2 linked regions of the Drosophila melanogaster genome follow. The protein of the gene in region 1 interacts with the protein of each later gene in a pairwise test. Each region holds a gene or a part of one and is shown in the gene's direction. Other genes may lie near its edges.

Region 1 (3,743 bases):
CAGGACTTGTCGAAGGCCACCGCAGCAGGTGCTTGCAAAAAAATATATATGTATCTAACATTGTATTAGATGCTTGATTTGTTTAATGAATGAATAAAACACATTCGGCTGATGATCCTGATCATCGAATAAAATTTATGGGATCGGAAAAGTTTGCTAATTTATATTGCCAGCGTATGAAAAGGTTTTCTTAATACCCCATATGTAAAGCTAATTGGTATCATTTTTTAATAAAAAGTACTATCAGTTTATTGATTTTCCTATCACTAGATACCAATATATACAGATTTATGTTATACTTAACGAAAGTGATACTAGTAGAATACATCATCGTAAAACTTAAACAGTAACAATTTGGGCATCAATATCGACAATTTTTAATATTATTTTTTAAGATAATGATGAACAATTAATATTATACTATTAATTATTAATTTAATTTTTAAGTAACTTTAATTTTCAAAATACTTTGTGAAGAATTCAATTGCAATATAACGAAAAAAAAATTTATTCAATTTAAAACGTCAAACAATATCGGCATACAATATATGTACATACCTAGTTAACTTACAGAAAGACGTACACGCAAATGTCTGACTAAAAAAATCTTTTTTTTTTTCAAAAGTCGTTTAAATTGAGTACTGTTATATATGTTATAAAACAGAAGTAACCTTAAATCATTCAAAATTGTTATGTAATATTTTTTTTCGCTCGTAACATTTTATTGAACGATAGGTTATGTTCGACAATTGCGCTATTAGCCAAAGCACATATTTTGTGCTGAACTTCGCAATTTAATACAATTGTTATCAATTAAAAATTTTTATTTTTGTGCTACTTACACAATTGCCCCAAGAATGGCAGCAAATTCTTATCGGCTTTAGATGCAGCACGTAACGCGAACATTTTTCTCGAACTAACTGAGAAGTGTGCGGGCGAGCAGAAGTCCTAGTGATGAGCAAATCGGTAGTCGCGATATATTGAGTATTTACGCTTCCAAAACATATCGAGGTTTTAGTATTTTTGCGTATTCAGACCATAATGTGGACTTACGTTGTTGTTACCGCACCAGGAGAGTGTCCGAATGCCACTTTTATATATACACAATGAACTGTAACTGTTGTGGTTGCCCGACACTAACGACTGATACACCCATGAAAAGGTGGTTTAATGGATTGCAAGCTGATGTGGCTGAGTAGAGGTAACTGCACCAACAAAAATAAGTAAAACAAGAGAGAACGCAAGTACGCAAGAGAAATTTAAATTATTTTATGGCTTATGGATAGAATTTGGAAAATATATGACAAAAAATGATATTAATAGTGGTAGGCGTGACAGTTTTGGGCGGCGTGTGGGCAATAGATTGTGCGTTGCAGCATCGATGAAAAAACTTGCCCTGATTCTTCGTCTCTGGAATGTTAAGTCTCAACTTGTTAAATCACTATCTAGCTTTCGTAGTTCCTGTGATCTCGACATACAGAGGGACATGTGTAGATCGACTCGGCTGGTGATCCTGATATGAAGATGATGAAGAAGATATGGTTGAAAAAGCGAGTAAACAATTCTTAGTCAGTCTGATTGGCAATTAATTTTTGTTTAAAAGATATCAAAAGCAAACAAAATTTTTCGATATTTGTCTTAATACAATTTTTGTCGGCTTGTCTGCCTGAAGAAAAGCGTTATTTTAAAACCTAAAAAATAAATTTGTTTATGTTAAACTGGTTGGTATGGGAAACTTAGGGTTTATTACTTTTGCTAAGCCCTTCCATTTTAGCGAGAAACAGCTATAAACATTTCCTTCCTACCCATCGCTAAAATCTAATAGTTTATCTAGGTTAGGGGTGTTTACGCTTACAAACACATAACTACAATATTTACTCCTTCAAATCATTTTAAGTTATCGATGCATCGATATTTCCCTTGTATTTTTCCACCTGTACCACGTGTGGTCATTTTCTGCAATACATTGATTTCCCCAACGCTCAATGAAAATAAGTAAAAAACTCTTTTCCCGCCAGGAGGAAAAACCTCGGAGCCAATTTCTGGAGGAGGAACAGTACGTGAACCTGACCTCAGGCGCGGCTGCTCGTGAGTGCTGCGGGGATGCTCTTTGGGATTTCGATGGTCAGACCGACGAAGCCTGGCTGGTCCAGTGTCCCAAGGGTGCAGATCCACATCTGCTAGTCGGCAAGCGCATTAGGCTTCCTGGCAGGAAGAGCGTGGGCGATCTCCAGGTTCGTGCCGTCAAAAACTCGACGTTACAGAGCGAGGCACTGGGCTATTTGAGATCTATGGGTCCCTATGCCCTCCGGAAAATTCCCTTTGTCGGCTATGTGGTAATCAGCAAGCGTCTATATGATAAACAACCGCTACCAGGTCAGAAGGAACATACAATTCAAGCTGATCTAACGCTACCCAAGTACCTATTACGAGAACGACATCCGTTGTTCGGGCGCAGCTACAAGCAACGCATCCAATTACCGAAGATGATTTCCACATCTCTTAGTCAAGCAGACGAGAAATTCTTGGAAGCTACTGCCAAGCTTCGCAGCACTGCTAACTACTACAAGATCCGGAGCAAGCTGCACACCACCACACAGACGCTAGAACAAAAAGAGGACGATGTGCGACAGTCGGTGCTTACCGGTCGTACGCCGCAGTTCATGAAGGAAACAATAATCCCGGATCTATATAAAGATCTCTTAGACGAAGAGGACATCGAGAAAAATATAATGAACCCAGCAGAGGAAGTTGGTCCTGCCAAAATGCGCAAGAAAAAATTTAATTCAAACGGTCACAAAACGGGAAATGCAGTAGGGAAATAGACAAAAGAAGCTTAAATTAAATGAAAGCAACGGCCGCTAATGACCTGGACGAAGTAATTGCACAAGAAGGCTTAAAAAAGTCGAATGGAAACCATTAAGAATTAGAGTTTACTTAAGATAAATTCACATACTTACGTAATTAAATAAAAATATGTAACGATTTGGATTATAGATTATCACATATAAGCTGCATAAATTAATGTAGTCATTTAATAACGAAATAAAATTGCACTTTGTCAAGGCGTGTTCACAGCACTATGAACAGCTGACGTTAATATCAGTACCTTAATAGTTGCGGAGAAAGAGCGGTGGTTAAAGTTAAGATTTATATTTAAAAGAATATTAAGAATACGCGTTGCGCATGTTCCGAAAGAGATTTCTGTGCTAAAACAGTTCGATACTTAAAACGTTTAAGTTATTTTACATTACATTACATTAAATTGCATATTGAACGCAATTTAACGTTTTCTCATTCGGCATGTAACAATTAAAAGGACTCACGCGCGTTAAAAAGTTGAATACGCTAGCATAATTTAATTTAAATAATTATTCAGAGTTGCCAATTTTTGTCACTTCAGCAATTGACACCAATCACTTTGCGATTATTAGGCAACCCTTTAAAACTACACGAACAACAGCAAATCGATTTCTCAGTTGTGTTTTAATTGCGTATTTAAAACAATTTGGATCGGGCTATGAATGGAACTGATCTCTGATAAGGATGAAGAGACTTAAAGCGTACCTAAAGGATGGCATCAATGTGGCGGCGGTAATGTGTCTGGGCGATACTATATCCCAGTTCTTTTTTGATAAGAAATCGTTGGACGAATGGGATGCGGGGCGAACCCTCCGTTTCGGCATCGTTGGACTGGTGTTCGTTGGCCCAACTTTGCGCCGGTGGTACCATTTTTTGGAGTC
Region 2 (3,733 bases), on another chromosome or scaffold:
CCCTTCGCCCGATGCCCGATGCCCGACCAACCAAAAATGGTTAGTGAGTGCCATGCCCTGCCATGGTTGCGTTTCTGGGGCCGGGCAAGTTTTCAATTTAAGTTGAATTATTATGACCTTAATTAACACGTCGTTTCATCATCAAATGCCGCACTACATCTTATGCTTTTGTTGCAGATATTTCGGCATGGCGCCGTTGCTTCAGTTTCAGGAGCAGGTGGAAACGTAGGAGTTCCAGGCTGCCAGGTTGCCTGGCTCGTGGATGAGGATGTTGAGCTCCTGATTCGATTTTCTGCAGACATGCACTTTTGCCAGGAAGGAGCTGAAGCAGGAGCTTTAATCCCTGCGCCAAGTAACTGTTGCTCCGGTTGGTCGGGCTGCGCCAAACCATTCCATTCTGCTGGGCTCTACTAATTTTGGTTTTAATTAAATTCAAACTATGTTGACGCTCCCGGCACTGACGACCTCCGACGAGCGGCAATCACGTGGGTGATGGCCATGGTCCCCATGTTCCTCCAAATGATCCTGATGATGCTGATGATGATGGGGCTGCTCCATTACTTATGTAGCTACATTTTATGCACCGCCTAATTGAATGACCGAAATGTAAATTGAAAATGCCCGAATAGCTTAAATGGTTGTGCACTTGAAGAGTCCTTGATTAGTTGATCTTGATTAGTTCCCAACTATCGATTTCCATCTCATTTGGATTAATACCTAACTATCTTGCATATTCCATTCCTGCTAATGATAATGACGTGAAATATATATACATACCAATTATTTTGCACAGTGCAGGCATACACTCGTACAAATGTGGAAATTGGCCAGCCAGAGCCGTCATCATCAGATGCCTGGCTGCCTTACACTATTTGCGTTATGATTTCTTTTTAATTTCCCAGCGGTATTTAGGGAAAAAATTTAATAATATCAAATATGAGAGCAGCGAGTGGTGGATGTCCTGTGGAGACTGGACAAGTGCATGTGCCGTGTGTCGTGTGTGTTTGTATTTGTGGGCAAACATTCAACAGCGCACAACAATGCGATCTCCCGCTTTTCCCGCTTATCCTCTGCGGCTTTCATTTGGCGGATGTGTGTGTGCGTTGTTGTGTGTGTGTGTGTGTGTCTGGACTTCCGCTTGGCTGAATTTGTTTACACTTTTTTTTCGCCCGCCGCCACTGGCCCACTCATAATTTCATTTTGAAATGTTTGCCTAAGCGACAATTTCACTCTTTTTTTTCACTTTTTTCTGTTGTTTTTCACAGCCGGACATATGGCACTAAGCCTGGCCCACATTATTAAAACCAGCGACAAAAGACAAGCGACTCTCGGATAGACCAGAAACTGGGTCCACGGTCCATTTAACAGACTCCAGGAGGCGATGGCGATGGCGATGGCGATGGCAATGGCTGAACCTGAACCCTTGGCGGCACAGCACTCAGCACGTGATTTGCATACACTTAGGCCAGGCTGGCGGCACCCAGTCCAAGCTTTTGGCCCACACTTAATTACATGCCAAATGAAAAGTTGGCGGAAGCAAACAAAAAATTTTGGGGAAACCAAAAATATATAAACAGGAAAAGAGCAGGAATTAAATGTGCGTTAAATTGCCAATAAACATGGCCTGCATCTCAATGGGCAAAGTAAGGCGAAAGGGGTGACTAAAACAGCAATAACACGAGGGTTTAAAAATGTAGCTTAAAAAAAAAGAATAATAAATTGCTTAATATTTTCTAGTACATCTAGTTAGTTCCAGCACTTTAGTGAAAAGCGGGCCTTGCCTTTTGTGCTGGGAGTTTTGGGAAACTGATAGAGCTACTTTTCATTCCCACAACGGCAGTCACAGCGAAAACGCACACGTCCAAATTTTATACTTGAACAAAACCAAATCACTTCAAGAAATATTTTTTTTATTTTTCTTTTGATTATCGTGTCGAAACATAAATGGAAACTGTGCGAAATCGAAACCCTCCGCGGATGAAGTACACCGCTCCACCGAAGATGGAATCGGATTTAAACTTCACCGAGAAGGAGAAGAAAACTCTTACCGAACTGAAGCAGCTCTATTTGGAGACCATTAACCTGGATGTGGCTCTGCAGCGCGACATTTACAATATCGAGAAGAAGTACGAGGATAAGCACAATATCATATTTGATAAGCGCAAGAAGATTCTAGAGTAAGTCCATTAATGGTGTTTGGTTAAACAAGATCTCAATTCCCCCAAAAATCCCATCGGTGCAGTGAGTTTAGAAAGCAAAACCACGGCGACGTGGAAACCAATCAGAGCGTGCCCAACTTTTGGCTGAGGGTTCTCAAAGCATCGTACACCGAGTTCATCAGCAAGAGGGATGAGAAAATATTAGAGGTATGTTATGGATAGATCCGATTTGAAGGATATTTAAATTTTAATTGAAATTTTTCCCGCGCAGTGCTTAAGCGACATCCGTTCTCGGCTGTACAACGAACCCGTGGTGAAGTTTGATATCGAATTCCACTTCGATCCCAATGATTACTTTACCAACACGGTGCTGACCAAGACATATTTCCTCAACTGCCTGCCGGATCCAGACGATCCGCTCGCATATGATGGCGCCGAGATCTACAAGTGCGAAGGCTGCGTCATCGACTGGAAGCAGACCAAGGACCAGACCAAAACCGGTAAGCCATCTGGGAGCATCAAATTTCACAGATGTTAGTTGAATTCACTCATTGACCAGAAAATCAAGAGCCGTCGTTCTTTGAGTTCTTCTCGCCGCCGCTTTTGCCAGAAGATACCCTTGACCCCAACTACTGTGACGTCAATGTAAGATTGAATATCAGCGATCTGCGATCCTTTCACATGCATCTCCTCCCACAGGCTATGCTGCAAAACGATTTTGAGGTGGGCTTCTATCTAAAGGAGCGCGTGATTCCCAAGGCGGTGATCTTCTTCACCGGCGAGATTGCCGATTGTCAGAGCTCCAGCGGATCGGAGACCGAGTCGGAAGATACCGAGGACGAGTCGGATGCCGAAGAGGAGGATGGCGTCGACAAGTAAACATTTTACACCGCTTATATACAGTTTACATACATTTTTAACTCGAGTCACCGAACTATTGGCCTGTCCTTACCCACTACATACCAACCAAATAAACATTTCATTATACATATTTACCAAAAGGATCTCGCGCGCTCTTTTTAATGCCTAGCTAAAGGAATTGAATTGTGGTTTTGATTTATACAGTGCGTTTAGCCTGGCGTGTATATATTACAAGGACTCGAATAGTCAAACGTAATACTAGATGGCTGAGCTACAGCACTCGCTTGTAGCCAGCGTTGTGGATCCATCGGCTTGGCCATGTCGTCTTTTTTCTTAAAAAAAAATAAAATAATCCAGCACGGCCCACTTCGACGGAATCTTTACAAACAATATTCTAAGGAGCCACCACCTCCTGTGGCGGTGGCGATTTCGGTGGCTGCTCGTCGTCGGCGCGCGGCGGTGGCTGCAGCATCACCACCACCGTGTCATCCTCTTCCTGTGTCTCCAGCTCCGGAAGTCTTTCAAACTCCTCCAAGTGATTGGCGACCACTTCGCATTTCGGTTTGGAGATCTTGAAGCGCCGAATTGCCGGAAGCGTAATGCTGGTGCCACTAACATCGATATACACCAGATTCGGAGAGCACTGCACCAGGTGCTCCAGGGTATGATTTGTGATGAGATGGTAGTTTCGCAACGACAGTCGCTCCAGTTTA

The links. Proteins that work in one complex are often made in the same cells at the same time.
Region 2: the proteins of CG11076 (region 1) and mil interact in a two-hybrid assay, tested with the Drosophila melanogaster proteins (one large-scale study listed by BioGRID).

Annotation. Positions count from the first base shown.
Region 1 is NC_004353.4:1,029,053-1,032,795, reverse strand, and holds CG11076 (uncharacterized protein), read left to right. Parts: upstream 1-1,820; 5' UTR 1,821-1,985; coding exon 1,986-2,825; 3' UTR 2,826-3,085; downstream 3,086-3,743. Other genes in the region: ATPsynbeta (ATP synthase, beta subunit), read right to left, coding at 843-906; mitochondrial inner membrane protein MPV17, read left to right, coding at 3,547-3,743.
Region 2 is NT_033777.3:27,910,624-27,914,356, forward strand, and holds mil (milkah), read left to right. Parts: upstream 1-1,823; 5' UTR 1,824-1,944; coding exon 1,945-2,177; intron 2,178-2,242; coding exon 2,243-2,366; intron 2,367-2,430; coding exon 2,431-2,659; intron 2,660-2,718; coding exon 2,719-2,804; intron 2,805-2,858; coding exon 2,859-3,038; 3' UTR 3,039-3,162; downstream 3,163-3,733. Other genes in the region: CG5003 (uncharacterized protein), read right to left, coding at 3,415-3,733.